4 linked regions of the Astyanax mexicanus genome follow. The protein of the gene in region 4 purifies or fractionates together with the protein of the main gene of each other region. This does not show direct contact. Links are inferred from orthologs where the notes say so. Each region holds a gene or a part of one and is shown on either strand. Other genes may lie near its edges. The genes, in order: wdr43, utp15, wdr75 and utp4.

What was found.
Region 1: the proteins of utp4 (region 4) and wdr43 purify together in Homo sapiens (co-immunoprecipitation; 5 studies listed by BioGRID and IntAct, counting the BioPlex papers as one, with this or other methods). This does not show direct contact. The link is inferred for Astyanax mexicanus from reciprocal best matches to the Homo sapiens genes UTP4 and WDR43.
Region 2: the proteins of utp4 (region 4) and utp15 purify together in Homo sapiens (co-immunoprecipitation; 4 studies listed by BioGRID and IntAct, counting the BioPlex papers as one, with this or other methods). This does not show direct contact. The link is inferred for Astyanax mexicanus from reciprocal best matches to the Homo sapiens genes UTP4 and UTP15.
Region 3: the proteins of utp4 (region 4) and wdr75 purify together in Homo sapiens (co-immunoprecipitation; 3 studies listed by BioGRID and IntAct, counting the BioPlex papers as one, with this or other methods). This does not show direct contact. The link is inferred for Astyanax mexicanus from reciprocal best matches to the Homo sapiens genes UTP4 and WDR75.

What each region holds. Positions count from the first base shown.
Region 1 is NC_064421.1:41,015,178-41,023,071, forward strand, and holds the start of wdr43 (WD repeat-containing protein 43), read left to right. Parts: upstream 1-4,602; 5' UTR 4,603-4,655; coding exon 4,656-4,889; intron 4,890-7,894. Other genes in the region: trmt61b (tRNA (adenine(58)-N(1))-methyltransferase, mitochondrial), read right to left, coding at 298-614, 1,304-1,670. UniProt on the Homo sapiens protein: Ribosome biogenesis factor that coordinates hyperactive transcription and ribogenesis. Part of the small subunit (SSU) processome, first precursor of the small eukaryotic ribosomal subunit.
Region 2 is NC_064416.1:14,403,018-14,410,981, reverse strand, and holds the start of utp15 (U3 small nucleolar RNA-associated protein 15 homolog), read left to right. Parts: upstream 1-4,158; 5' UTR 4,159-4,292; intron 4,293-5,636; 5' UTR 5,637-5,673; coding exon 5,674-5,763; intron 5,764-5,859; coding exon 5,860-5,952; intron 5,953-7,964. UniProt on the Homo sapiens protein: Ribosome biogenesis factor. Involved in nucleolar processing of pre-18S ribosomal RNA. Required for optimal pre-ribosomal RNA transcription by RNA polymerase I.
Region 3 is NC_064418.1:43,448,183-43,456,456, forward strand, and holds the start of wdr75 (WD repeat-containing protein 75), read left to right. Parts: upstream 1-4,922; 5' UTR 4,923-4,962; coding exon 4,963-5,048; intron 5,049-8,274. UniProt on the Homo sapiens protein: Ribosome biogenesis factor. Part of the small subunit (SSU) processome, first precursor of the small eukaryotic ribosomal subunit.
Region 4 is NC_064416.1:19,241,294-19,249,220, forward strand, and holds the start of utp4 (U3 small nucleolar RNA-associated protein 4 homolog), read left to right. Parts: upstream 1-4,543; 5' UTR 4,544-4,633; intron 4,634-5,724; 5' UTR 5,725-5,744; coding exon 5,745-5,903; intron 5,904-6,748; coding exon 6,749-6,937; intron 6,938-7,035; coding exon 7,036-7,210; intron 7,211-7,481; coding exon 7,482-7,693; intron 7,694-7,807; coding exon 7,808-7,927. UniProt on the Homo sapiens protein: Ribosome biogenesis factor. Involved in nucleolar processing of pre-18S ribosomal RNA. Part of the small subunit (SSU) processome, first precursor of the small eukaryotic ribosomal subunit.

The sequences.
Region 1 (7,894 bases), on a different chromosome or scaffold from region 4:
GCCAGAATAAGGTACAAAAAGAATTTTCATTCTAGAGGACACAGTTACTGAGATACTGAGATACCAAAGGCAAACATTGCTTTATAGCGCCACCAAAAGGCCCACTTGAGATAATATGTTTGACTAAGTAGTGGCTAAATTACTTACCTATGTACCAAATTTGATTTTGGATGACTTACAGTTACTGAACTACAGATTTTATAGGAAAAGAAAAGAAAAAGAAGAAGAAAAATCTAAGCAATTCCAATAGGGTTCCAGTTACGACTAGTGGACTAATAAAAATGACTGAAGTCTTACTTTAGGATAGGAGATGGCAGGACCTCGTTTCATGAACAGAGTAAACTCCTCCAGACTGGGCCGGCGGAGAAGCATAGGGAGCCCTACGCTGGTGCGCAGGACACTTCCAGATGGGAGCCCTGCAATGGTCTGGTGAGGAAGAAAGCCCCAGTTACTCTGCAGCTTGGCTCCTTCCTGCAGCAGAAACATTTTCCGGAACTCCACCCTCCGACTACGGCGATACTCCGCAAGCAAGGTCTCCCCAAACTGCATCATCTGCTCCATCCTTTCAGTCTCCTCGCCCTGCGTTACAGCATCATCCTCAACCTGAGATTCACCTACAGTCCAGTGTGGATGACATGACAGGAATAAATACTTCAAAATTCATCAAAATGTATTTCATATTTTGTGTAGTATGGCTAAAACAGACAACAAAGCTGCACCACAAAAGCTGTATCTATCTGTATGTATACAGCTATGGGTAAAAAAAAACTAAAAGAGCACTTAACTAAATTGAAAACCTCTGGAATATAATCAAAATGAAGATGGATGAGCACAAGCCATAAAACCAAGCTGAACTGCTTGAATTTTTGCACCAGGAGTGGCATAAGGTTATCCAAAAGCATTGTGTAAGACACAAAGTGGAGGAGAACATGCCAACATGCATTAAAAAAATAAGTGCTATCCCACCGAATATTGATTTTTGAACTCTTAAACATTTATGAATATGAACTTGTTTTCTTTGCATTATTTAAGGTCTAAAATCTCTGCATCTTTGTTATTTCAGGCATTTCTAATTTTCTGCAAATTAATACTTTAAATAGCATTATTTTTATTTGGAATTTGGGAGAAACGTTGTCCGTAGTTAAAAGAAAAAACTAAAATTCATTTTTCTTAAACATCTACCTATAAACAGCAAAATTAGAAAAACTGATTTAGAAACTGAAGTGGTCTCTGATTTTTTTCCAGAGCTGTATATCTCAATGCACTGGTAAAAACATGGAGTTTTATTTTTGCCTTTCCTTACCGACAGTAGGCACTTCCTGTGCCTGTTCCTCTGTTTCTGCTTCATCTAGGGCTTTTTTCTCCCTCAGTTCCCACACCTCCTTACTCAGCGAATCCTGGGGCAGCAGCTGACTGACCCGCTCTAAAGGAGACAGGGGTCTCCGTCTCCCCAACAGAAGGGCTCTTCTAGAGGAGTGTGAATCTGCTGGACCAGGTGGAGCCGTTGCATCTGGATCATCACTATTCCCGTCTGAACTGCTGGGAGCCATAATGAAATTCCTCAGAACGTGTGTCCAAATTGTGGGAGTTTTTCTGGCATCAACATACTTGTTATTCAGTCTCTGCTGCCTTAAACAGGTGGCACACACTCTGGTCAGTCTGTGAGTCATTCTGAGGTAGAGAGACACCTAAACACCACCTGAGGAAGATCAGATTAAAGCAGTTAAATATATTTAAAGAAGAATTCTGGACTAAAACTAAATTTGAATATATAATTATTAGTGGTGTCAATTAGGGGTGGGCAATATGGACCTAAATTAATATCATGATATTTCATGGTATTTTCACAATGACAATATTCTTGGTATTATGACAAAACAGCTTTTTTTTTAATTAATTTCAAGAATATACTACAGCATAAATACAAGAGTTTCATACATTCAGTAGAAACAAGACCCTTTATTATAAAATAATATAAATCTAAAAAAATAAAAAATAAAGTAACGTAATAAGAATAATGTACTACAAAACTAAAGTTTAGCATATTTAGTGCATGAAAACTGCAAACAAACAATTAACAGTAACTTTTTCACAGTAATAATATTTTTTTAAATATGATACTATAAAAATATGCATTGTTCATGTGAAAACTGTATTGCAAGCGATCAAGCTGATTATTTAAGAAGGCCACGCTGCTCTTGTTCTGCCTTTTGCTCTGCTGCCTTCCTGCATTAAGAACCCTGGAGATTTGTTAAGTTTGTTTTGAGATGGAAAAAACAGAAACACCACCTTCAACTTGGAGTGATGGTGGTGGTGGTGAGAGTGAGGAAGACTATCCCCAGCCCTACTTACAGTCCATGTTTTATTTGTTGGAGTGGGAAAGATGCTTTAAAGGTTGAATGACATGATGTTGATCTGTTGTTGTTTACAAAGATCTCCGTATTTAAAGCTGCTCTAATCTCTTGGACTTTGACAGCTTTAGTTGATTTTACAATAGTGACACACCAACTAGTGACCTTTTATGTTGAATTTGTTAAAATATCCTAACAGTTTACTGTTTAGCCTCTCTTTTGGGTAAATTTGTTTAGAGAGTTCGTCAAAGACTTCATGTAAATGTACTCTTTCCTGTTCGTTCCTGTTCTTGTGCTGTTGTTACAGCCTAAGGAATTGTGAGTGTCTTGTAGTCTGAACATCTGAAATAATATAAACAATTTGGACTTTTATCTGTAAAGACTACACAGTACAATACTTGTACTTTTACTTTCAGTACTTGAGTAGATTATGTTTAAATAAACTACTTGCGGGGCGGTCTAAAGTGCTGCCACGATGAGCAGGAGGTCGCAGGTTCGCTTTGCCATCAAGCTGCCGGCGCTCCCTCCAGGTGGGTAGATGGCGCTCTCTCCCCACATCACTCCGAGGGTGATTGCCACAGCACAGGGCATCTGTGAGCTGATGTATTAGAACCGAGTCGCTACATCGCTACTTAGTTTTATTAGAAATAATAAAACTTCTTGCTTAAAGAACACTTCAACTTCTACTCAAGTCACTTTTTTGATAGAGTACTTGTACTTTAACTCAAGTCTGGATCTCTAGTACTTTATAAATATCCGCATAGCATGTGGTGCTCACCACTTTTTACCTAAAAAAAAATAAATAAATACATCATGTCCCTCCCTGGGCTCCATAGAAAACTAAATTGATAAGCGTCCCACTGACCTTAATGCAACTGTAAACTACAACTAAATACTGACTTAAGAAGTATTACAACCAACAAACAAAACAAATGAATAACGTTACAGTGTCCAACAAATCTCTGAGTACTAAAATATAACGTACAACCTCCAAAAACCTATAATAACAAGCTAAAAGCTGCAGGGTAAGCAATGCTACAGCAGACCAGAAATTAAAAAATAATACAATATACTATAACATAGAACATACAATTGTATGAATTGTAACTAATATGAATTGTAAGTAGTGTAACTAATCTGTGCCTCCATTAACATGCATGTGTATAAAAAATGATAGGTTAGATATTAAGCACTACTCACCTCTACTGTACTCACTCACAGACACACACTATATGGTAGAGATGTGTGTTGTCGAGCAGTTCATATCAGCTCCAACATAAATAAAACACAGTAAACGTAAACGAGCTCATGCTATCTCAAACAGAAACCCGCGCGCGTTCAGAGCACACTACAGTACAGAGCAGAAACACAGCGTGACTCCCTGACTGGGCAACGCCATGTTTCACTGTTACGCCTAAGCCAAGCGACAAAAACATTAGAGCTGCAGTATCGAGAGCGGCCGCAGGGTGTGAGTAAAACTCCACTTTCCGCTCACTCTCTTTTTAAAACATTTTCCATAGATTCAGTTTTTCATTCATTTTATTGTATTCATTATTATTTTTTGGCTTCATGTTTCTGAATACAGTGCCTACTCGAGTGATTTATGATATTAAGACTCAAAGGTTGTGGTTAGTTGCCAAGTTAGATAGTAAAGTTAGCTCAACTAAAAAAAATCATTCCTGTAATACAGTTATAATAGTATATAAATTATTATATTTTAAGTGTTAGTAGTAAACTGAAAGGTCTAGACATAGAAACCTAGATACAGTAGAAGATTTTTGTGGGATATAAATATCGTAGCTTCTGAGAATGACCATTTTATCATTTTATTTTTCTTATTATAATTATTTTTCTTTTGATTGTATATTATTTTCTCTTCCTGTAAATGCATTAACTGTATAACATACATACACAACTGCTGCACACATTTAATTATATTTTAATAGTATAAATATGTGATTATTTATAATATATAAATGCCTTTCTTTACCTTCAAATTTGCCAATAATATACCATTAATTTAATCAATTACTCATTTTTATGTCTTTGAAAATTATATATTTTTTTATTTTAGTTGCCTTCACCTACTTGAAAATAATATATTTTACATATTAAATTAAATTAGCAGTTTATTTACTGTTATTTACAAATTTAACATACGTTATTGGTCAAGTGGAATATTTGTCCACGCCCACGAAACGTGACAGAGCAGGCGCATGCGTGCTCCCTTCTCTCCAGCGCTCCGTAATACCCCACGTGTCTCCCCCAGCGCTCGGCTACGCACGCTCAGAGTCGCGCTGAACGATGGCGGCGGACGGCGGAGGTTCAGCTCCTTCGGCTTCTCTCGCGCTCCCGTGCGCCTATTCACCGGCGCCGCGGCGGCAGTATCTGGCCGTGTGTGCTCGCGACGGACGCCTGCGGATCTGGGACGCGGACGGCGGCGGCAGCGGTGGGAAACCCCGGCAGGAGTACGCGCCCTCCGCGCGGCTCAGCGCTGCCTGCAGCTGCGTGGCGTGGGGCCCGTGCAGAACCAGCAAGGTGCGCGAGACACAACAGAGCTGTAGTTCAGTTATTTGAATTAAACGGCACGTGCTGATTTTTATAAGTTGAACCTGAGCGCTCGTTAAGTGGCCGTTAAATTCGTTGTTATTTTAAACTGATGATGTTTAAAAGTAGCGCACGAGCTTCAGGCTCAATCTCAGTTTATATGGAGGCAGGAGGAGAAAAACAGCTGAAATTGGAGCTTTCAGACTCGCTTTCTGTTACTTTTCTCGCTTCGGAAAAAGCGAACCGGACTGGGTGATGCTGTGCGGATGTCTCTCTGTTTCTCAGTGTTTGTGTGTGTGTTTATAAGTGCCAAAATCCGCCTGCCCGTATCTCTGAGTAGCTATAACCCACGTTAGCGGCCTTCGTTAGTTAGCTGAGCTAGCGTGTTAGCAGCCTAGCCCGTTAGCGCTTAGCTTAGCCTTCTAGCATCGCAGCAAAGCAAGGCGCACATGTGGTCCTTCGCAGCACATGTTCACCACTAGCTAGTCAACCTAGCTGTGACCACTAAGATGGCCTCTTGCTCCTTGTTTTAAGCTGTAAAATACCTAATTTTCCCTTTTTTATATCCATCAAAACTTTATTAAGCTTATTGTTTTTGAATACAGTGCCCGCTTGAGCTTGTTATTTATAATCTTAAGGCTCAAATGGTTAATGACCAAGTTACTAGCTAGTTAGCTAACTAGCTCCATGTAAAAAAAAGTTGTAGTATTTAAATTACTAGATAGGTGGTAAACTGGAAGGTCTAGATATAGAAACCTACAGTTGAAGGTTGTTTATGTTGATGATATATTTAATATTTAATAAAGCTTCTGGCCATAAAGCCTTTGGCATTAACTGGAGCAAAGTTGAGCAATATGTCGTCTTAAGACGATATTGTCCCATAAATATTGCAAGTAAATGATATGTTTGTCATTCTAAGGCCATCTCATGCTACTCATATAATAATTTTATAAAATCACGACAATGCTATTAACTAATCTCTTTATTTTAAGGTAATCTGATCTCATGCCACTGATATAATTGTTACATAAAAGCACAACAGTGCTATTAACTAATTGTACTATATTAACTATATTTTAACATCCTAATTGACATATACAGGGTGTCTGCAGTTCCTTAAAAAGTGTAAAAATCTAAAAACATACTCTTTAATTTGTCTTAAAATATCTTCAAACAATTTCCAAGAGCTTTTAAAATGTCACGATTTGTTTTATCTTTTTTAATGTTTTGAATGTTTAAAAAAAAAAGCGAAAGTAAACTTTCGGTAAAGTCAACAGCAATATAATTATTCTAGCTTCTGGTCTAAAGTTGGCAGAAAAGTTACTTTTTGAATGGTTTATTGACACCTTAAAGTTGTTATAAATGTCATTATCTTCATTTTAAGAAAATCTCGTCTCATGCCACTGCTATAATTATGTAAAAGCACATCAATGCTATTAACTCCTTTTAACAGCCAAAAAAATTCAAGCATACTAATTAGCTGCGATATACAGCGTGTCTGCAGTTCTTTAATGTAAAAAGCTTAAACCATAAATTCTTTAATTTGTCACATCCAAAAGGTCTTAAAAATCCCACATTTATGACATTTTTACTGCATTTAGAAGTTTTCAAAAATAAGCAAAACTAAACTTTCTGTAGTCAACAGTAATATTAATATTCTAGTTTTATTTTAATATCACCACATATCATGCCACTGAGGTAATTGTTATATAGAAGCACAACAATGCTATTAACAGCTACGCATATTCAAACATTCTGATTAGCTACAATACACAGGATGTCTGCAGTTTCTTTATAAAGTCTTGTTTAACTAAAAACTAAAATTCCTTAATTTGTCTTAAAATATCTTAAATCAGATTACAAAAGGTCTTAAAAATGCCACATTTTGTTTTATTTGTTGTGCATTTTAAAGTTTCCAAAATAAAATAAGCAAAACTAAACTTTCTGTAAAGTCAACAGAAATATAATTATTCTAGCTTCTGGTCAAAAAGTCGGTTTATTGACATAGGAATAATTGTTATAAATGTCATTATCGTTTTAAGATGATCTCGTCTCATGCCGCTGCTATAATTATGTAGCTATGATATACAGGGTGTCTTCAGTTTTTCAAAAAAAGCTTCATGTAAAAAGCTTAAAACAAAAATTCCTTAACTTGTCTTAAAATATCTCAAATCCTCATATCACATCCAAAAGGTCTTAAAATGCCACATTTTGATTACATGAATACATTTTGAACTTCCAAGAAAAAACAAAACTGAACTTTAAGTAAAGTCAGCAGCAATATAAATATTTTAGCTTCTGGTCATAAAGTAGGGAGTAAAGTGATTATTTTTGTTTGGACACTTTATTGACAAATATTTGATGTCTCCTCTCCTGCTACTGCTGTTAAATTTTTATCAGCTAAGTATACAGAGTGTCTGCAGTTCCTTAAAGTCTTGTTTAACTTGGAACAAAAAAATCCTTAATTTGCTTTAAAATGTCTTTAATCAATCAAAAAGTCTTAATGTCATATCTTGGTTTTATTTTAATGCATTCTGAAGTTTCCAAAAAATAAGCGAGACTAAAACCCTGTCCTTAAAGGACTAAAATTACCACAGAGTTTAGCAAAAAATCAGTAGGAAATTCAGCATGTTATTTTCTCAGAGGACGTCTGAGAAAAACACGTACGTGGTCGTTCCGGACGGGAATAAAATTACAGAGGAACCCCCATAAAAGAGAAACTAATCTCGTCCGGATAGGGCTTAAGTTTTCTGTAAAGTCAACAGCTGATTAAAATGGCCCAATATGTGGGATTAATCTGATACATATTAGGTTATGAAAAGCAGACAGAAGTTAAGTAGTTAAGTAGACAATAGTACTACAAGTTTATTCCTTGTCAGTGTCAGCATGTGATGTTTGAGAACAGTGTGTCTAAGTGTTTGTGGCCACCTTTCTAATCAGTGCATTCTTACTTTTACGCTTTGGACACAAACGTGCAAATGCACACATGACTTGTC
Region 2 (7,964 bases), about 4.8 Mb from region 4:
TTCCTTTTTACTTCATACTTCCCAACTCATGTGATTAGTGTAAGCTGAATAATGCTGTTTAGGATATATTACACACTGTCCTTTACTCAGCATCCTGTGACTGCTGATGATGGACTAGAGGATGACCGACACAAATTGTGCAGCAACAGATTTAAAGCTTCTACATTTACATTTAAGTCAACTTAGAAAATATCCAGAGCAAGTTTGTAGATGCTAGAATTAAAATATAAATCAAGCTTAGATGCTGCTTAATACAAAAGTCATTATGGATACCAAGAAGAAAAGTGCTAATTTAGTAACTCTTTAAGTACATCTAAGATCTAGCCCAGCCTTTACCTTTACTTTCCCTTTGCAGTGCCTTATTTCCTAATGCTTTTATGTTCATGTTAGCTCTGTGTCTCCTCTCATGTCTCTGCCCTAGCCCGGCCTTGGGTGTTATCTGTAGCCCCGCCCCCTCGTCGTCTGGTCCAGATGTTTCTTGTCTACTCTTGTGTAATAGTCATGCCTTTTTATTTTGCTTGGTAAAGGCCTATCACAATAATTACGTTATCGACTTTTGTACAATAAATGCACATTACCTTAATCACTTCTGCTGATGATGTGTTTATCTGCTATCACATTTCTGTAAAGCTGCTTTGCGACATCAAGCACTTTATGAATCAATTTTAGCTTAAAGAAGAATTACTGCTACTTATTTTCTAATTGGTCATCTACTATTAGGTAATAGTTAAGTAAATTACTGTGCTTGGGATGAAAAATGATTATAAAATGACAATAATATAATTTATGTCAATTATGGAATTGACATAAATCTGGAACTATTGTCCACAAAAAAAGCTATCGTGACAGGCCTAGTCTGGGCTACAGCTTAACAGGAGTGGTTTTGGAGAACACCTCTGATCTACACAAATCTGTGTATATCTGTCCCAAATGGCTTGCGGTCCTGTAGTCCTTACATGCATGTGCGTCATGCATCTACATGACATCGCAGCTCAAGATACTACACCACCATTAAAGGACAGGGTGAAAGGAGCATAATAAAGCAATTCACTTCCTGTTCAACTCTACAAAAGCCATCCCCCATATCTACACATGTAGAACAGTTTCTGTTGTTATATTGAAATTATAAAGATAAATTTGTTTTTACCTCGTTATTTGATGTAAACAGCTGTAAACATATGCATTGTGTTGTACATGTTTGTTTTTCGAAGAAGAGCCAGGGTCAGATCCCTGATGAGTAAACTAAAGACATCTGTTTCAAAACTTCCTGAAAAGATGAAGGAAAGATATAGCAACATAAAAAGGACCCATGTCACTTGGGTTTAGTTCATCATGTTTATATGTTTTGGTCATAGACACCCTATACATAACCTCAATGAAGACCAGCTTTTTGCCTTACTGGTACACAGAGAAATGTGTGCTATTGTTTTGAGGTACACTGTATTCATTTGGATGCACAAACAGTACTTTGGTTACACTACAAAAATATATCTGAATATTCAGGCTGGTAACACCATCCGCAGACTAATTTATTCACTCTATTTCCCCAACACACTGGCATTACAATAATGCCAACAAGACTGCTTAAAGATTGAATTACTCTTAACCTAGCAGTGGTGGGAAAGTCCTGTGTGTGGTATCTAAGATGCCAGTCTCAAAATAATATCTCCCATGTGGTTCATGTGAAGTTTTGGTGAAATACAGGAAATGTGCGTTTATGCCTGTGTTTGAGTGTGCGTGTGTGTGTGTGTCTGTGTGTTTAAAACAAGATCTTCTTATTAGATTATGTGACAGCACTGTACCTTGTACTTTTAACTGCCAGAGCTAATAGTTTCTGATTCATCAAAGAAATAACCCGAGGAACTGTTATAGACACTACATAGAGGCTTAAATCTTTATCTAAATTTGGTCCAGTTAGCTTCTTCCTTCCTTATACGGTGGGATTCAAAATTCTTAGTCATAATTACTGTGAATAGTTAGGTGAGTAAGTTTCCCACCTAATTCCAAAATGTATAAAGTTAAAGATTACATATTTTTAAAATCTTTTGAGCAAGATTAATCTTTGGGGTTTTTTTTCTTTTTTTTCCAAAGCTCAAAAAAATATTATGGTGTGATAGTGCCAAGAATGGTTTAATAAACTTTAATCATATAAAAGGACAGCATAACAATGTTAACAAATACAATCCAATACAATACAATAAGTGTCGACGTTCAATATATGTTTTCATATCATAAAGACTACAAAGAAACTTTCTAGTAAAAAACTCAAGCTCCTCACGTCATCAGTTAAGTCATGAAAATATAATACAAGTATTTACAAGATGAGGGAAAACTTGTATTTACCAGCTGGAAAGTCATAATGCAGATTTAACAGCAACAGTTGATATTTAAATGGTTAACTCTTATCTACACTGCTGTGCACAAATGCTACTGATACTTGTACTAGCTTTGTGGTACTCGGATCCAGTCTCGGGTCTTGAAACCATAAGTGATTGATCTCTGTCTTGACTCTGTCTCAACTTTGTGACCGTCCAAGTCTGATGCATCTGTCTGAGGAAATTATTTGAATCCATCAATCCGATAAAGGTTTAGAATGAGGGCAGATTGCTGTCTGATGGCAGGGTGTTTTCACACATAAAAGTCTGGACCACACTAAGGTTTGTGTGTTTGTTACATTGTGTACATTTGTTTTGGTTAGTATTGGGTTCACACTGCATTTTATTGAGCGGACTTAACAATTGTTATCATCGGCTATGTGGGGGGAGTCTCTCTATACTTTATATTAGTTGGTTTGAAGAATGTTTGTTATGAGTTCGGCTAATCAGACTGTCCTTCGCGTTAAAATAAATATATACTTGGCTCATTTTTAAAACGGGGTGGCCCAGTGGCGCAGTGGGTAGTACTTCTGTCTCACAGCAAAACGGCCTGAGTTCGATTCCCAGTTGGGGTGACCCGGGTCTTTCTGTGTGGAGTTTGCACGTTCTCCCCGTGTCTGCATTGGTGTGCTGCGGCAATTCAGGCTAATTAGATGTCGGATAAAATTGCCCCCCTAGGTAAGTATGTGAGTGAAAGAGTCTGTGTGTCTGTTTGTGTCTGTCTGCCCTGCGATGGATTGGTGCCCTGTTCAGGGTGCATACTGTTCAAGTGCACTATAGGACTCTGTGGCGTGGCCTAAGGCTTTTGTTCTTAATGGCACTTTTTCTTCCTTATATTACTTTTACTTATATACTTAAATGAACTATTAAATTTATTATACTAAAATGAGTACTTTTACACTTTTAAAGCTTTTTACAATAAAATAAAATACAAAAATACTTTTGACACCTTTGTTGGGCACCCTGTTCAACACACATTGCTTTTATTTTTGTGTTGTGTGAGTCTATAATCTACGGAGCCAGGGCGGGGCCCAGGATAAAAAAAAGAATTAAAAGCAAACAATATAGCAGATCATGCTCACGTTTTCTTTAAATTGTGTAAACGATTTACAATTTGTTCTTATGATTTCCCAATTCGCATAAACGATTTGCAATTCATGGTCACAATTTTTTTAATTCAAGTGAATGATTTATTTATTTTGAGCGAACAATGTTTTTTTTTGAGTTCATGTCCACACAGGCAGGATAGTCACACATCTCCAGTGCTTTTCATGTCTGTTACAATGCCATTTTAGGGCCACTCTTAAAAAATAAAACCTGTTCACTTAGAAAATAAAGTTATAATATTATGAGATTAAAGCCCGAATATTATGAGAATAAAGTCGAAGTATTTTTAGGAAAATGTAGTTCTAACTGCTTGGGCTGCAGTTTAAGAACAGAGCGTGGGGGGAAGGAAAAGATGTAAGCTGGAGACATGTTTATCCTGCCTATGTTGGGGAAACTTTTTTGTGCTCATATAAATCGTTTGCTCAAAATAAAGAAATTGTTGCCTCGAATTAAAGTTTTTTTTTTACTCAAAGTAAAGAAATTGTTCACTCAAATTTAAGAAATCGTTTACTCGAATTAAAGAAAACGTGAGCATAAACTGCTAAATCGTTCGCTCGATTTAATTATTTTTTATCCACGGCCCCTCCCGGGCTCCGTAATAATCTCGTCCCCTAAGTAGTGCACTAAATAGTCAGCACGGACCAATTTGAGATGCGCCCAAATGCGCAGCAAACGGAAGTACGTAGTCCAACATGGTGGCGTCCGTGTGGCCGTAGAAGCAACGTGATTTCTCTCCACGTTTAGCGAAAAAAATACAAAAAACTGCAGTTTAAACCAGCGCGGTTTCTCCAGGAGACGGCAAACACTTCGGTACTTTTTTTTTACATTTGTGTGCTCGTGCTACTCGGCCGCGTCTGGCCGTGTTTCATTACTTCTGCTGATAAACGTATTACTTTAGTAGACTAGCGGTGGCTAACCTAGCTAAGCTAAGCTAACTAGATAACTTATCTCATTATTAAACTTGTTACATAGTTAGCCCTACATTTTTGTTTCTGCACGTGTATTGATATTCGATTTTTTTTTACTGAAAATAAATCCCACAGTGTGTTGGGTTAATTTGGTTAGTGTAATTTAACAAACAGTTTTGATTTAGTCTTAAAGCTGGGTTAGGTTAGTAATGCTACAGCCTTAAAAGGGTGCTCTCTAAATAGTGTCTGTTAAATATAATAGATGCAGGACCATGACAATTCACAGGCCCTTTACATACTTAACCCTATGGTTTCTTCGTCTTGTTGAAGCGTTACTATCTACTATAAATCAAACAACTATTTCTTAACCCAAAGAACCCATGGTGACATACCTAACAGACCTTTAAAAGATGTGCAAAGTTTCTTAAAGCACTTTGTCCTTCACTTTAATTTAAGAAGTTCCTAAATCACATATACAGAACATCCTGAGAGCATCGCAGGAAAGTGTGTGAATAAGTGGTCACCTGACTTTGTTTACAGATTGTAGGTGTGCTGGAGATAATTGTAGCTGTGTTTTCACTTATTTAAGTCTGTTTTAACCAGTTTAACTATTGAAATGCTCTAATAAATTGTTTTCCACGTTGTTGTCGAAATTTTAACATTAAGGAAAAAAAATGAGCTGTCCAACTCATTTAATAAAGTAAATTTTAGATTTTGTATCAATAATCTGAACTGAGTCTGGTCTCTTATGGGTTAAAACACATTTAAAATAATTGCTCTTCTGTCAATCTGTGTTTTATCTTTCTGTCTGTCAAAATGCTATCCTACCATTGTGGACACACCTTCTCTTTTTAAATATGTTTTCTTTATTTTCATGACTATTTACATTGTAGATTCTTACTGAAGGCATCAAAACTATGAATGAACACATGTGGAGTTTAATGTATTAAACCATAAAAGTGAAATTACTTAAAAAAAAAAAAAGAATATTCTAGTTCCTTCAAAATAGCCACCCTTTGCTCTGATTACTGCTTTGCACACTCTTGGCATTCTCTCAATGAGCTTCAAGAGGTGGTCCCTGAAATGGTTTTCCAACAGTTTTGAAGGAGTTCCAGAGGTGTTTAGCACTTGTTGGCCCCTTTTTGCCTTTACTCTTCAGTCGATCAGTTAGTCTGTATTCTTTGTTGTTCTTCTGACAATGGTGGATTTTAATGAACTACATTTTGAACATGTTGCTCTTTTGTAGGCCTTCCTGGATTCCTGAATGAGAGAACACTGCTCCAATGGCATCCTTTAAACCCACTAAAGTCTATACGTATCCAAAACTAGGAGAGAAGGTTACTGAGGATACACTGTACTGGAAAAACTACAAGGTATCCATGATTCTTTTTATTATTTATTTCTAAAAATTGAAATAAAAGAAGAATGTCATTTATTTAACGTGTTTGATTTGTTGTCTTCTGTTTCAGGCTCCTGTGCAGATTAAAGAGTTTGGTGCTGTAACAAAAATTGAGTTTTCTCCAGTGGCACCTCACAATTACGTAGTAACTGCCTCCACCAGAGTGAGTTATTTTTTTATCTCACACTTTTCTTTTTTGTATATTTGAACAAAAGGATTTCAGAACATTTCTTTTACATTACATTACAGTACATTTGGCAGACGCTTTTGTCCAAAGCGACTTACAATATTGAAGTGCAAATAATAGAAGAGGTTAAGTACAAAAATAATAGAAGTTAAAAATAAAGCATCTATAGATAGGGCCTTAAGGAGGTCAGAGGGAAATAATGGGATAGAGGAGTAGAGAAGAGGAAGAAGGAGATGAGGTTAGAATTAGTTAGTTTGTTAGAGGTGTTAGGAGAGTAAGTGCTCTTTGAAGAGCTCTGTCTTCAGGAGTTTCTTAAAGATAGCGAGAGATTCTCCTGATCTGGTAGTGGAAGGTAGTTTGTTCCACCATTGGGGAACGCTGTATGAGAACAGTCTGGATTGCTTTGTGTGAGTGTTTGGCAAAGCGAGGCGACGTTCATTGGAGGAGCGCAGCGGCCAGGAGGTAGCGTAAGCCTTCAGGAGTGAGTGCAGGTTGGAAGGAGCTGTTCTGTCATCACCTTGTAGGCGATTGTAAGAGCTTTGAATTTGATGCGAGCAGCAACCGGTAGCCAGTGGAGCTCAATGAGCAGCGGGGTGACATGTGCCCGTTTTGGTTGGTTGAAGACCAAACGTGCTGCTGCATTCTGAATCATCTGTAGTGGTTTTACTACACAGGCCGGGAGGCTAGTTAATACGGCATTGCAGTAGTCGAGGCGTGAGATTACCACAGCTTGTACCAGGAGTTGGGTGGCCTGTTGCGTCAGAAACGGTCGAATTTTTCCGATGTTGCAAAGCGGCAGGATCGAGCAACTGAGGCCACATGGTGCGTGAAGAGAAGCTGGTCATCAACCAGAACACCCAGGTTCCTAGCAACCTAGGTGAGAGAGAGAGAGTCGATGGTTATGGCAAAGTTGTGTTGAATAGAAGGTTTTGCTGGTATGACCAGAAGTTCAGTCTTTGAGAGGTTTAGTTGGAGGTGATGTTCCTTCATCCATGCGGATATGTCTGAGAGACGCTGTGATATTCGTGCAGAGATTGAGTGATCATCTGGTGAGAACGACAGGTATAGCTGGGTGTCATCAGCAAAGCAGTGGTAGGAAAAACCATGTGAGCGGATAACCCGACCTAGAGAGGTGGTGTATATTGAGAAGAGAAGAGGTCCCAGTACCGAACCCTGGGGAACCCCAGTGGGTAACGAGTGGGCTGGGGACAGCCGTCCTTGCCATGACACCCTGAACGAGCGCCCAGTGAGGTACGATCTGAACCATGACAGCGCATTGTCTGAGATCCCCATGTTCGAGAGTATAGTTAGGAGGAAGTCATGGTTGACTGTGTCGAGAGGTCCAGCAGAATGAGCACTGAGGACTGTCCTGCAGCTCTAGCAGGTTTTAACGCTTCTGTCACAGACAACAGAGCCGTCTCGGTAGAGTGTCCTTTTTTGAATCCAGATTGGTTCTGGTCCAGGAGGTCATTTTGGGTGAGGAAGCCAGAGACTTGATTGAGAGCTGCTCTTTCTAATGTTGTAGAAAGAAAAGGCAGTAGTGAGACCGGTCTGTAGCTGGGCGGGGTTGAGAGAAGGCTTTTTAAGCAGTGGTGTGGCCTGTGCTTGTTTAAAAGCAGTCGGGAACACATCAGATGTTAAAGAGGCATTGATCGTGTGAGTAATAGCCGGAATGATTGCAGGTGCAATGGGTTGCAGAAGGTCTGAAGGAACCGGGTCAAGTGGACACGTAGTAGGACGGCTACGCGTTAGGAGAGCCAGTGTCTCGTTCTCAGTGAGAGGAGCGAACGAGGAGAAAGCGACGCCTTCGGTAGAGGGATACCGGGCAGCAGAGCATGATGTAGGACTGCTACATGTCGCATCAGTAAACTGTCTGCTGATAGCTGCCACTTTCCCAGTAAAGAATGAGGCAAGAGCTTCAGCCGTAAGGCAGGTAGCCTGAGGAGGAGGTGGAGGGTTGAGTAGTGTTTTGAATGTAGCAAATAGTT
Region 3 (8,274 bases), on a different chromosome or scaffold from region 4:
GCTTCCACTGGCTCATTTTGCTGCTGGAGATGTTGAAAGACAAGAAAGATCAAAATCAGTTTGAACCAGAAAATGATGCACCACCATGGGTTGGGGTCGGAGTTGGATGCTAACATGAGACCTAGGATTTCACAGTGATATTGAAATTGGTATGTTTCACTTCAACTCAATTCCATTTCACACTGTATTTCTTCTTTAGGCTCCTTTACCTTAACTATGTATACACTTTGAAATTCATGTATACTATGAATTCCACAACCAAATAGTCATTTACAGTATTTATTTGCAGAAAATGAGAAATGGTTAAATAACAAAAAAGACTTCAAATAATGCAAAGAAAACAAGTTCAAATTCATAAAGTTTTAAGAATTCATAAATCAATATTTGGTATTCAAACAACGCTGGTTTTAAATCACAGCTTTCATGCATCTTGGCATGTTCTCCTCCACCAGTCTTACACACCGCTTTTGGATAACTTTTTAGGTTTTCAAGGTTTTTAAGTGTCTTTTTTAAAGTCTTTTTTTATCCCAAGAATATTATTGAACAGTCGAGCACTAAAGCCATACATAAATTAAAGACAACTGTATTAAATGTACAGGTATTTAAAGTGAAAGCAAACATTCCTCTACATGAGTAATAACGTGTTTTTTTTGTCATCGCAAACCTTGAAAAATATGTGTTGTTACAAAGTGTTTATATGAAATTTAAACATTTAAACTAAGCTTGAGACATAAAAGGCAGGTTATACAGATATTAACCCATATCTATCTCTATATACAGAGGATTAGAGCTGATACTGTACCTGTGAGAGTTTCCTCCACACTGAAAGCCCCGGTGTGTTACAGCTCCTGTAGTCGGGCTGTAGGAGCGGTAATAACAGTGTACAGTGTGTGTAATCCTCTGTAGCGCTGCTGCTGGGTCTCCTGTAGCGGAGCAGGTGAAGTTATAGTCCGGGTCAGAGCTCAGCGCTGGGGTCTGTCCTCCTCCCGCTCCGCCGCTGTGTTGCCTCCTCCCGCGCGCTGCCTGAGCCCCAGCGCGAGCTCACCAGTATCAGCACAGGACACGCCCCCACCCCGCACTGTGATTGGCTAACAGCTCTCTTCCGCCCTCCACCGCTTTCACACGTGTTTAGTATTTTATTATACGGTATGTTTATATTGTTTAATATATGTGTCATGAATTAATCATTCATTTTTTATCTGTTTTTTTTTGTTTTCTCTGCCTTTTTTCTTTCTTCCGTTATCTTTTATTAGTCTTTGTTTCTATATTTATTTGATTGTATTTATTTCTTTTCTTTTCTTTCTTTCTTTCTTTCTTTCTTTCTTTCTTTCTTTCTAGTCTTTACATATTTATTACTTTATTTATTTAGAGTCTTGGTTTCTTTTTTCTTCGTTCATTTTTTAGTACTTTATTCTTATATTCTTATATCTTTCTTTCATTTAAGTTTTTCATTTCTTTCTTTCCTTCTTTCTTTTTTTCTTTCTTTCTTTTTTATTTTTTCTTCTTTTTCTTGTATTTATTTTTTCATTCATTCATTTATTAAGTCTTTGTTTTTATATATTTTTTAATTCTTTTAAGTTTTCCTTTCTTTTTCTTTCTAGGCTTAACTTTTTTACATTTTTTGTTTAGGTTTCTTGCTTTATTGTTTTAGTATTTTAATCTTTCAGTTTTTATTCTTCCTCTTATTTATTGTGTTTATTTATTTATTTATTTATCCAACCATTTATTTATTTATGTCTTTATTAATTTATTTAGTCTTTGTTTCTCTTTTTTGTGTTTATTTCTTTCTTTCTTTCTTTCTAGTATTTACTTATTTATTTATTTAGAGTCTTGGTTTCTTTCTTTCTATCTTTCTTTTTTATACATTTCAATCTTTCAATCTTTCTCTTTTTTCTTTCCTTTGTTTCTTCCTTTTTCTAGTATTTATTTATTTCTTAATTTATTGAGAAACTATTTTTCAGTCTCTCTTTGTTTTATAGTCTTGCTTTCTTTTATTTTCTCTTTTGTAGTCTTCCTCTTTCCTTCATTCTTTTTAAACATTCTTTCACTCTTTGTAGACTTTCTTCTTTCTTTTTTGGACTTCCTTTCTATTTTCTTTTTTTTTTCTTTTTCTAGTTTTATTTGTTTATAAACTTTCTTTGTCTCTCTATATGTTTTGTTTTGTTGTTTTGTCTGAATCTGAAACACTAAAAGCTGAAAGTGTATGTAGGCCTGGAATCAGATACAGTTACAGTAGATAATGTAACTGTAGGTAAAATCTGAGGAGCAGCTGCAGCCGTGGGTCGGTTCAGGATAATCTGCAGGTGAGGCTTTAAAGGAAACTGTTGGTGTGTTTCATGAACAAGGAACCATTCTGAAGAAAAGGGAATTCCCCTCTGATGGAGCTGATGCAGTAAAGTTTGTCTCACGACACCACCGCCTTACTGAAGACACCTAACTGAAGACACTACTGAATTATCACTTTCTCACAGAGATCAGATATCACTTATCACAAACTGATCACAAAAATTAGGTTATTATGTTACACATGAGGGACACCGCATTCTATAATCACAATAGACTTCTGTGTCATGAGGATGTGGCAGACTTCCAGAATATTTATTTAGGAATAATTTAATCTTTATCCGCAGTTCCTATGTGTTCCACAGAGTATAGCTATATTGTGTTTTTCAGTAATGTGTCAATTCTCAGCAACACTGTACCAATTTATAGGAAAGTTTACATGAAAAGAGTCTTGAAAGACAGTGGTTAATTCTGTGCTGACATATTATAATATTAATATAGGACATATGTTGTTATTAGTGTGGTCAAAATGATTTAAAAAAGATAGATAGATACTTTAATGAATTTCTGGAATTACATGCTCCATGATTAATTATATTCATTACTTTTTGCTTTGAAAGTATTTTAAAATAAATATACTTTCATGGGTGGAAATGTTGGCATACCTGAAAAGTATTTATCCCATTTTTTATACATGTTTATTTTTATTTGTGCACATTGTAATAGAAGAAAAAAAAAATAAGGCAATTTTTTATAGTATATCAATGGGTTGTACTCAATTATTCACCTTCTTTTCAAAATTGTGGTTAAATAACTGAGAACTGTCTGAGGACCTCAGAACCAAAATTGTGGAAGATATCAACATTCTCACTGGTACAACTCCATCTCCAAAGATCTTGATGTTTCACAAATGGTGCACAAATTAATCAAGAAGTTTACAACCCATAGCACTGTAGCATAACCTCTCTGGACGTGGACGGAAGAGACGAAGAGAAAAACTGATGAAAGGTTGCAGAACAGGATATTCTGGATTGTGGATAAGCAGCACCAACACCAATCAACCAAGTTCCAAAGAAATTCAAGCTGTCCTTCAGGCTCAGGGTGCATCAGTGTCAGCACAAACTATCCTTCAACTTTCAATGAAATTAAATGCTATGGAGAACCAGGAGGACCCCACTGATGACACAAAGAGACATAAAAAGGCTACATTGTAGTTTGCCAAAATGTATGTTAGTAAATAAATCCTTTTGGGAAAAAGTGATGTTTTTTTAAACAAGAATATTGCAGAAGTCAGAAGTTTTTTAAATGGATAAATATTTTCTTAAACTTTTCAAGACAGTAAGGCTGCTCATCAAGACCTCCATTTCTCATCTGTGCCAATTCAGAGATTTTTCTTACAGCTGTGGACTGTAAACACAATGCTGGTGCTTACTAATTAAACATTAAAAACAGATTTGATTATTTTTAAATAAGCAATAAAGGCAGTTGCAAAGATCTCCCTCATTAAGAGGTACAGATTCAGATTTTTCTAAAACCCAGCTTCCTAATTTTGACAAGGTTTTAAACATAGAGAGATTTGATTATTTAATGATGGTCTTCTATTTAACATATATTTTCCAGGATGACTTATTACGTAAAAATGTAATTAATTCATTCATCAATTTGCTTCTCAGCTAACATTAAATTGAATTGTAGCTATACAGTTTAAAATATTTGAATGATGAATGCAATGAGTATCACATACAGAGTATGTAATTAATTATATTATTTTTTATTGCCTGAACTTACAAATCTTACAAAACTTACAAATCCGAAATATGACAAAAAAACGATAAAAAATAAAAAGGAATTTAGTAAAAAAAAAAAAAACGGAATTCATAGGGCCCTACGGATGGTATTTATTTATTTGCTCCTGAGCTAACATTAAATTGAATTGCACAGTTTAAAATATTTTGATGATTAATGCAATTAATTAATTACAGAGAATGTAATTTTTTAATCACCTGAAAGTACTATTAAAAAACCTAAAAATCCGAAATGTGCCATAAAAACGATAAAAACTAAACTTAAAAAACTGAATTTAGCACAAAAAAAAAAACAAAAAAAAAAACGAAATAACGCTAGGACTTTAATCATGTTCATTACAGGAAGCTTTTAGGTCTATGTCAGTTATTCATTTATTCATTTGCTCCTTAGCTAACATTAAATTGAACTGTACAGTTTAAAATATGTTTATGATGAATGTGATTAATTAATTACACAGTATGCAATTAATTATATTATTTTTTAATCGCCTGACAGTACTTTTAAAACAACCTAAAAATCACAAATGTGACGAAAAAAAACGATAAAACCCGAAAACAGAAAAAACAAAACATAATTGACCAAAAATATAATAAAATGAAATTCATTGGGTCCTTAGGTCTATGATAGTTATTCTTTCATTCATTTATTTATTTGCAACATTAAACTTGACAGTTTAAAATATTTGTATTTATTTGTATACTATTAAAAAAATGACAGTGCTATTAAAAAAATCCGAAATGTGACAAATAAAAACGATAAAAACCGAAAACAGAAAAAAATAAAACGTAATTTACCAAAAAGGACTTTTATTTTGTCTCCGGTTGGCAGGCGGCAGCAGCGTGCGCAGGCCGGCAGCAGAAGAAGAAGATCATCATGGTGGAGCAGAGCGGGGTCCGCGTGGTTCGCTGCGGCGGCAATAAAATCAATTTCAGAGCTCCGATCATCACTAAAGACTGCAGGTATGATCAGCGACCGGATAAAAACCTCTTATACTCACTGTTTCCTCACTAGTGTGAGCTGATCTGAGAGAGATGGGGCCTTCTGCAGCTTCATATGCTGCTCTGTAAACAACGTATTCCAATTTATCATATTTAAAAAGATTTAAAACATGTGTTTTTGCTGTTTAATGCTTAGTGTGGAGCGTTTTGCTTATTCTTTTATTCAAAATGTTCAGATTAGTGCTGAATAATCAGAGATCAGACACCTCCCAATCATAAAGAAGCTAACTAACTAACTAACTAACTAAATACCCATGTGTTGATAGTCATGTTTACCCTGGTTAACTACTGAATACTACATGCCCTGACTAAATTTTACCTAAATGAAGTTCATATTAGGCATTTTTTCATCAGGTGGAGATTTGTATGTTCCTTTTCCTGCAAAACTTTTGGCAAGTTGACACAAACGTGTTTACATCTTGGTGGTAAAGGATCATTTAAAGGTAATCATATTTAGTAATAGCATGGTCTCAGTGGCCAACACATTTAGCTAGGTTGTTTTTTTGGTTAACCTTACCTGGATATTAAATATTACTGAAGGGAGGTACTGAAATATTACTGAATTGGTGGCAGCACAAGAGTGATGTAGACTAGGGCTGATTGAGTTGTCCTCAGGTTGTCCTGCAAGAACAAGGAGATGTTAATTGCAAAACTGTTTATTCTCACACACTCATGAACATGCCACTCATTTATTGGATTATTAAGACAACATACAGACTTGTGGTGCAAAAACACTTCTTTAGAAGACGGGAAATTACACAAACTTACAACATTAGCCTACTTTTATAAGATATCTATGAAATAAGAATTTCAGCACATTTAGCATAAACTACGAAACATACACAAATTAACAGTAGCCACTCTAGGTAAGGTAATCATTTAGCATTCTGTACAGTTAGCATTTACTGATACAAAAATCACTCAAAACAAAGCTAACTATATAATACTTACTAGTGATTGCATGCAGACCAGCTCAACTAAGCAGTAGGGGTGGGCGATATGGCTCTAAAATAATATCACGATATTTCAGGGTATTTTTGCGATAACGATATACTTGGCGATATAGGAAAACTAAAATGTGAGGAATATATAATAATAAATAATATAATAGGAATATAGTATAATAGTATAACAGTATAACCATAATGTGGCAAAATAAATAATATAGCATAAAATAATATAATTCAGCAAATAATATTGCAGAATATTTAGTGCATGCATATAAACTGCAAACTAAAACAATTATACAATAAATGCACCTAAAGCTTCACAGTAAATAATAGACTACTTTTAAGACAGAACAGCCCTATTATCACGATATGGATTTTTAATATCATGATATTTCTGTGTCACGATATATTGTATACGATATAATATTGCCCACCCCTACTAAGCAGCTGAAAATCTTAACAACCTAAGCAAGTTTAAACTGAGTATGGGTTTAGAAGCTGATTAATTAGAAGGGAAACATGGTGACACCCTTGTTCCTCACTAGTGTCGCTTAAAATGCGCCTTATAATTTGGTGCGCCTTATAGTCCCTAAAATACGGTAATTAACAGTGTTAACTTAAGAGGTGTTCTGCTTTTTGCACACTAACATTTAAGGTTTTTGCTCTCAAACTGTGAAACACTTTGCAACCTTCACTAAGACTTGCTGTTTCTTCAGTCTTTTAAACAGGCATTTGGATAATGTACCATTTTATACTGTGATTGTATTTTTTGTATTGTGTGATGGTTTTGTAAAACACTTTATGACCAAAAAAAGAGCTAAATCGTGTTTTCTTATTTCTCATGTTTGCTTTGATTGGCTGGGCATTATTAGGGTGAGCTGAAGTGAGCATTGTGATTGGCTCAGTTCATTAGTGGTCATAGTGCTGGACGATATGGCCAAAATTCATATCACGATATATTCCTTAATTTCGGTCGATACGATATAATTTCGATATCGATATAAATACTTAGAAGGCCACAGAAAACTGCGAAGAATCCCTGCAATGGAAATATGTACCTACTACTGTCTGAAAATTTAATTTAAGTCTTTGAAACCTCCTTTCACGAAAACATTATAATACTTAAGAAATTAAAAATAGTCAAGATAAATCAATGCTCAATTTTATTTGCATATAGCAAAATAAAAACATGACATCCCTGTCAAACATAAGCCTATATAACTATTACCAATAAAAATAACTTTAAATTAGGACAGAAGCAGAGCTTCTTATTCTTTTGTAAACAAATTTAACAGATCAAAACAAAAGTGTTTCAACTAGGATAAAGAATAAAAGAAGCCTTTATATACATAAAAGCAACAAGATTTCCCCGTCAAATAAACAAACCTATAGGCTTTATCAACTATAAATAACTTAGTTACAATATAAGCTACAAAAGTGCTTCAGCCAAAATACAACTCTTTATAAACATAAAAGGAACATGATATCCCCGTCAAATAAACAAACCTAAAGGATTCATAAACTTTAAATAACTTACAACATACGCTATAAAAGTGATTCAGCCAGTATAAGGAAAATATTGTATGTAGTGTAACTGATTGAGGTGGCGGAACAGATTAGATGTTTTAACGTTACCGCTGCTAACCTGCTCCACTCTCCGGCACAATTTGCAGCAAACTGAAGTTTAGCAGACCTTCGAGAGTTGAACCAAATCCTCACCACTGAATTAGACCTCCCTCCTTCAATTGATCACTTGTGGCAGGGGCATTCATTTTGCATCAAAAATGTCCCGTGCTGGGAGCCAAGAGGACCCGCGGCTGACCGAGAGGACCCGCGACTGACCGCTGACCGAGCGGACCCGTGGGTGGACCGAGCGGACCAGAGGCTGACCGAGCGGACCCGTGGGCGGACCGAGCGGACCCGTGGGCGGACCGAGCGGACCCGTGGGCGGACCGAGCGGACCCGTGGGCGGACCGAGCGGACCCGTGGGCGGACCGAGCGGACCCGAGGCTAGGGTAGGCTAGGCTCGGCTTGGTTCCGCTCCATTCCACTCCAGCGCGGAGCATTTCAGATGCGAACTGAGCCTACCTTAGCCTTGGATCCGCTCGTCCCGGCTCCGTTTGGCTCCAGCGCGAGGCATTTTAGATGCGTAGCGGACCCGAGCCTAGCCTAGCCTAGCCAAATCTAGCCTAGCCTAGCCTATCTGGCTACGTGCCTATGTGATTACATCATCACGC
Region 4 (7,927 bases):
TGTGTTTGGCTCTGCAATGCGCCGTGCAGTCTCGTGGCTGCAGCCTCTCATTCAGCCCTGAACAAGAAAAAAAAAAAACATCAGCCTTTCATAACTCCTCCACCCACCCACAACCCTCCTCTTAAAGCACCACGTCACTGCAAACACCAGGAGAAATATGACCCCATTACAGAGCACACTTAACCTACATAAAGAGTGTGTGTGTGGGGAGGGGGTGCCCCAGGGGAATAGTGGTGGTGATGAGGGGCACAACAGATTCAGTACATACACGTGCATTTCCACCACCTAAAATAAACTAAAAAAATCCAGCACATATTTTTCTTCTCATTATTATGTAATGTTTTTAGATACTATGTTTATTTAAAGCAGTTTTTGCTGACTTAGTATCAAAAATAATGAGATTGTATCTTCATTTAATGACTTTGCATCTCAAATTACTGACTGCGTTTTAAAATGAGATAGTATCTCAATTTAATGATCATGTATTTTAAAATAGCGACTTTGTATCTAAAAATATGTATCTCAAAATAACGAATTTGTATTTCCAAAAAATAATTCTAAATAATGATTATGTATTTCAAACTAATGACTGTATCTCAAGAATAATGGGATAGCAACTTAATATAGTGATTTAATATCTCAAATGAGATTAAAGAGATACTGAGAGTGTATCTCAAAATAATGACTCAGTATCTCAAAATAATGTGATAATGGGAATAAGCTTCCATAAGATGGCAACAAGGCCCAAAAAAGCAAATTAGGAAATTTAACATTTCTTACACAATTCAATGTAAGACCACATACTGCACACATTACAGAGAAAGTCATGGCTACAGAAGAAGAGGGTGTGGGACTGGACTGGTCTATCTGCAGAACTGACTTGTCCTCAATATATAATGTATACAAATAAAATATATAAAGCAATGAAAGGGGCTCCGAGTGGTCCACTATGATCAGGAGATCACTGGTTCGAATCCCAGTCATGTAGCTTGCCATCAGCTGCTGGCGCCCTAAGAGAGTACAATTGGCCTTTTTTGGTGGGAAGATAGTGCTCTTTCCCCTTATCACTCCAAAGGGTGATGTCACTCAGCACAAGGCTGCGTCTGTGAGCTGATGTATCAGAACTGAGTCACTTCGCTTTCCTCCGAGTGCGCTGTGATGCTACTTGACAATGCTGCACCAGTTTGAAAAGAGGTGGTGGCTGACTTCAAATGTATCAGAGGAGGCATGTTCTAATCTTCACCCTCCTGGTGTTGTAACATCACTAGTGATGGGGGATATACAGCTGAGTACCAGCTAAATAGATGGGGCATAGCTAAAATGAAAGAAAATGGAAAAAAATAGAAATGAATTAAAAAAGAAAAGCAATGAAGATGCCTTGTTGCACACCTTAATGATGACATAATTGCAGGAAGAATGGGAGAGACGAACACCTGAAACACTCCACTGCTTGCCGAGTTTAAGGGGCCAAAACATATTTTAGGTTTTGTGAACAGAATATATGGCAAATATAAGTGGCAAGTGCTTTTTTTTAAAGCGCAAAGCCTCATAAGCAAGGCTGCACTGATGATATTTGTTACTGTCTTGATAAGGATAACTGTTATAGCAGTGTCTGTGGCTGTTTATATTAAAGCTTCTGTTGTTTGTAAAGAAGATAGAAACGTAATGATTTAATTATGATCTTTTATTTGCCACTTATCTACAAAATAAAACAGCAGAAATCTAGGAAACTATGTAGATGCAGGGAACAGCAACAGACACTGCTAGAATTAATAAAGACTAGATTATGGCACACAAGTGCAGCTTATCACACATTCTGGGCCAATGTTACTTCCTCTCAGCTGGACTGTTATGAAGGCCTTACTGCATCCAGTTCCAGTTACTGAGTCTGACTCATATTCTCTCTCTCTCTCTTTCCTTCTCTCTCTCTTTCTGAGAGAGAAATGCATGGACACTAAAAGGGTCATTTCATGAGGTGATAGCATTATTTAGGAAAGCAATCCACCCAAATACTGCTGTACAAATCTTTACCAGAAACATACTTGGAATAACTATGACACTTAAAGCAAATAATACAAATTTAATGGATCATTCTAGGGTCACCATCCGTCCCATAAAATATGGAATTGTCCTTTATTTGGCAATTAAATGTTGTGTCCCATATTGAACCAATACTGGGTTCTGTTTGTTCCATCTTTTCATTATATGGGACATGATTTGTTCTGAATTTCCATAAATGTCCAACACACACAGACACACACACACACACAGAAACACACAAACATCAACACTAAATCCAACAATAATGATAAATAATGATTGATTTGCTATCTGGCTGTGCTTGATGTCAGTCCGTAGGGCATACCTTATTTTAGTAGACTATCGTGATTTGATTGATTGTCTACACATTTCCTATATTAAAAGTGTTTGTAGGGTATTCTGTGCATTTTGTGTCAAAATGTTTATATTTCAATATAAATATATATAAAATTATAAAATATAAAATAAAATACACAGGAGTCTGGCCCATGAGGAGCTGTGGTAAATTATATGATAAATTATTATCATTTCTGAAAAATGGCAACACTAGATCGTTCATACATGGGAGCATTCTAAAAAAGCAGCTAATTATATATTAATTATATATAATATAATTTAATTATATAAAATACATATATTAAGGGATTATAAAGAATTTAAATATACAAATTCTATTAAACAGAACAGTTTTCAGGTAATATTTTAAACACAAAGTCAGTTCATTATATTATAAAAATAGACTGACTGTTCTGGGTTCAGTACTTAGTGTACTGCTGCCCTCTAGCGGCAAAAGACATGACCTGCTGCCACAGAGCCTGTAAAGAAAGGAGAGTACCCACTCTTCAAAATTTGATCCAACACGCGCCTCTCTTTCATACACTAGAGGGCGCTCCCGAGGGAGACCAAAATTAATGGATTTAATAGGGAGCTATTGAGCAAAATCGTTGTTTATAAATGTTTGATAGTGTTTAGAATGATAATGTACAGACCAATATGACCTTTTTCAGTACCACACACATTATTTTAAAAGCTTTACACCCGCTGGTAGCGTACCAACTAACCAGCTTACAGTAACAGTAATGTTAGAGTCTCTTTTATTTATTTATTTTTTTTAATTAACAAAATTTAAGGCAAAACCACAGCAAATAAAGCGACTGACAGTACATATCCAAACAAAACTAACAGAACAAAGAAACGTGGGATTCAAATAAAATAAAAAAAAGCTTCAAAATATCAATGGATTTAAGACATTTCTAATTCATTATTTGTTGAAAATTTGCCATGGTGTGTATATGATTAGCTATACAAGTCAGAATAAACAAATGTTTGGAATGAGGGCATTTTTTATAGCAAATTATTATTTTTTTAAAGCAAACTAAAAAGTGAATCCAAAAAGACCAAGAAAATACACAATAAAAAAGGGTTCAAGGGATTCTGTGGCTCCTTTACAGAAAACACACGTATCACAAAATAGCAGTAACCGGGTAAGTAACCAGCGTCTCAGTTGTTTGTTTTCAGCAAAATACTCCAGTATGCTCACCAAAATGAAAGCAGCTTCCTCTCCACAGGTTGTTGACTCACCAGAGTTTTAACCCATTTGAGTTTTTAGGCGTTTAGCGCCGTTCAATTAATTTTGGACTGACTCGCGGGCTCCCTCTAGCGGCTGATACTCATTTTCTGATATACAGAGTTGCCAGGTTCGCGTTTTTTCCGCCAAATTGTGTTTGTTTGAAAATCCATTCGCAAGTGAAAATTCCGGGGTGGCGTGGTGCGTTTTTTGGTCTACTTTTAAAACCTACCGCGGCCGCGGTAACATCAGAAGCAGAACAACCTCAGTACAACACATTTTCAACTCACAAAAGTAATTCATAAGTCATATGTTAATAATTTTCTTTTTCTAAATCTAGCCTATAGGCTACTTCGTTTTAATTGATTTTAATGTATGTATTTTTGCAGCTGAATAAATGATATAATATATATATATTTTTAAAATATATTTTAACTTACATTTAATGTATATATATAATTAATGTTAATTTACATGGAATTTATATCAGTTTATATCAGTTTGTTTTTACTTGCCTTTCCCGTCTTTTCATTCTACAATACATTTTACACGACTCATCTATCTTTCTCTCTATGTTTTTTTTCTTTTCCCTTGTTTTATATTTGCAGCTTTTTATATTATATATTAAAAAAAAACTTTTGCCGTTTGATTTTTAATTTTATTTTGAAGTGTTTTTTTTTTTTTTACGTTAACGCGCTTCGGGTCTCAAAATCCGGGGTAGAAAAGTACAAACTCAAAGTCCCTTTGCATTCACAAAAGTAACATTTTATTGCTGAAAATAAAAATAACGTCATTAAACCTAACATGAATTAGTACTATAATAATATATATTTTTTAATCTGAACGTAATTGTGAGGCAGTTCAATGTTGAGCTTTTTTTTGTTGCAACAAATCGCCGGGACTTTTAATTCCAAAGTCAGTTTCACTTCCGGCTCTAAGGTTCTCAACGTGGTTCCCGCAGCAGTCCAACGTGTGGAGCAGCTGAGAATGAAGAGAGCGAGTTTATAAAGGAGATTATTGAATAAGGTAGGATCATTACAGCGGTATTCTCCTGCACGGTGTTCTCCTGCATGTCCTTCAGCTATTTTTTAGATAGTTATGTCTGTGTGTTTAGTTTCAGATCAGCACCAGTTTCCTCAGCAGTGTTTTTACCTGAGCTGTAGTTCAATATAACTCTACAGCTCATTAAACACACATTCATACAAGTTATTGTTAGGCATTACAGAACTGACTCTTTAGTTACTGTACTCGGAAGTTATCATTACTGATTTTTAGTGTTTGATACAACCTTAAATTATCAAAGTACAAAAAAATATTTAGAGACTTAAGCTGTTCACTGGATTTATTAAATGATGATTTAGTTTAATAATCAGTTAATAAAGGCTTTCGCCAGGTTAACGTCCTTTCAGAACAGAGGAAAAGAATGAAATAACTTGCCTGATCGGTTTATGTCTTTTAAAAATTGCTTTTCTACATTGTACTATAAACTATTGATTAAAGTAAGGGAACAGTTCATTGAGTTGATTAAATTAGCTACTTAGTTATTGAGAAAAATATTTTTTTATCCAGCTTAGGAAACACTTTTAATATAGAGAATAGTAATAAACTGATTGTTAAATTTATAGAACAATTTAATAAATTACAAAAATAAGGAACACTATCAAATTTAGGAAAGAATGTATACATTTATTCAAAATGGTCACAAATAACAGCAATAAACATTTCTATATGTAAGAAACATTATGGAATTCCTAAGTATTCTCTCAGCTCATTAGTAATTGACACTGGTTAGACATTAGTAAATGCTACTAATTGTTTAATCTTAAAAATGTTTAAAACAGTAATAAATAGATACATTAAAATGTAGATTAAAATGTTGTAATGAATGTTAATGTCTTAAATCGTATCAGTAAATAAGTATTTGAGACATTTTGTGATGAGTACTGTTAGTTCATGTACCCTTATTGTGAAGTTTTAAATAGGGGGGAGCAATTTACTAAATTTAGGGAAGGATTTATAAAGCCTAAGAAATTGTTTGTCTCTAAATATTATATATGTATCCTAATACTTCAGTGATCCTGTATGATTTAACAAAGCATGTCATTGTTCTTTTCCAGTTGCTTGGTTCTTCTCTACAATGGGGGAGTTTAAGGTGCACCGGGTCCGGTTCTTTGACTACATGCCGTCGGCTATCCGAGCTCTTGCCTTCCAACCGCAGCGGGAGAAAATTGCTGTAGCCCGGACAAGTGGCTCAGTGGAGATCTTTAACTGTGCTGACCGCTTCTTTCAGGAAAAGGTCTGTGATGTTAATTTATGTACTAAAGCTTTCTCCTACTCAAACAACCTGTACTTTTGATAGTGTAGTTATCCTAAACTCTGTGGGTTAGTTTCTGGTATAGTGAATAAGCCCCTTCATAGACTATATTTTATTTTCAATGGAAATCTCTGTTCATTGTGATGCGTAGTCCAAGACTAGGCATAATCCTTGTCTAGAACACTTCCCGTGTAACATTAGACATTAGCTTTACATTCTGATTTTGCCAAAAAAAATGGCAGCCAAGGCTGTAATTGTGTCTGAAGTTTATTCTTTTAGTGTTCTATTGGTGCAAGAGGCTAATGTAGTGATCATCATCACCTTCTTCTTGTCTGCTAAGTCTAGACATCTCTGTCCTCTCCTTTGTAATCCCTAGGCCAGTTTGGAGATAAAATCCCTTCAATGTGTTCTGGGTCTTGCTCAGGTTCTCTTCCCAGTTGGTTGTGCTTTTCTCTTATCCTATTCTTAAATATCTACTGTAGATTTCTTTCCTTGTAGAAACGCTGACTGATCAGCAACGTTTGGGATATGTGTAAAGTTATGGTGATCTATTTATTTAGCAGACTGTTCCTATAAATGTTGTATGGGTAAAGGCATGTTTGGTAAAACTTAAGTAATCTTTTGTGAGAGTTATTGGGTTACATGTTGAAAAGAAAAGAAAACCTCTGTAAGCTTCCTCTATCTGAATTAAGTATTTCTGTATTTTAAAGTGTGATAAGCCTATTATTTACTAATAGTAGAATTGGTGCACGCTTTACATTTGGGTAAAAAGTTTTGCTATTGTTTTAAGAACACTGTGTGAAATTAAATTTTGCCTCCATTAACAGATAATTCCAGGACGAGAGCAAGCTGCTACTGAGGCCCTTGCCTGGGTCGGGGATCGCCTCTTCAGTGCTGGCTTGAATGGAGTGATTAGTGAATATGATTTGGAAAACCAAAAAGTGAAATACACAATCGATGCATTTGGAGGCCCAATGTGGACCATAGCTAGCAACCAGCAGGGCACACATTTAGCTGTAAGTGTTGTTTGGTGTTTAACTTAACAATTTGAATTGCCTGGCTTTTTAAAAGCAGCGAATGAGAGAGAGTTTTATTTGTGTTTGTGTTTTTGCAGGTTGGGTGTGAAGATGGGACTGTGAAGCTGTTTGAGGTGTGTGAAGGCAAAATCCAGTTCGAAAAGAATCTGGCGAAGCAGAAAGGACGTATTCTCTCTCTCTCCTGGCATCCCTCTGGTTCTAGGATAGTAGCAGGAATGATGGATATGATTCGGGTTTTCAACACAGAAACAGGTAAGCTGTAGTTAGAAACATATAGTTTGCATTCTTTGTGTAACTCCCTTAGAATATGCGTGACATTTTTTTGTTGCCAGGGACCTAATATAAACAAGTTAAAACTAAATTATAAGCAAGAAGATGTATGAATATATTATGCCTGTTCAGTAGAAGAGAAACTAGTCACACTGTAAATATGTAAGCTACACTAAAATAACAGGTAAAAGTGGCTGAGTGACCATAGCCTTAATCACCTGATGCATGACTCTTGTCTTGTGTTGCCCTTTAGGGCAGTCAGTACACAGGTTACTGGTGGAGCGTGGAATAGGAGCCTCCCGGAGTGTGGAGTGTGTGGTTTGGGGTGTGGTTTACCTCTCAGATGGCACCATCATCAGTGGAGATTCATCCGGAAAGGTTAAAATATGGGATGACCTCACTGGAACACTCATTAAAAGCCACCAGGTCACCAAGTGGGATGTGCTGGCATTATCAGTTTCACAGGTGAGATGCAATCAATTGTTGATTGACTGATTGTTGTAGATGCACAGCTGATTTGTTAGGCGCCCGCATGATTTCAGTAAATGAATTGCATTTGGAATTCACTATGATCCTCAGGATGAAACCAGTGTTGTTGCTGGGACGTCAGAAGGTACTGTGGTCCAGTTCCAGTTCCTCTCAGTAGTGCTGGGCCAGGAGGACAAAGAGTGGGTCCAAACAAGGATCTTTAAGAACCAC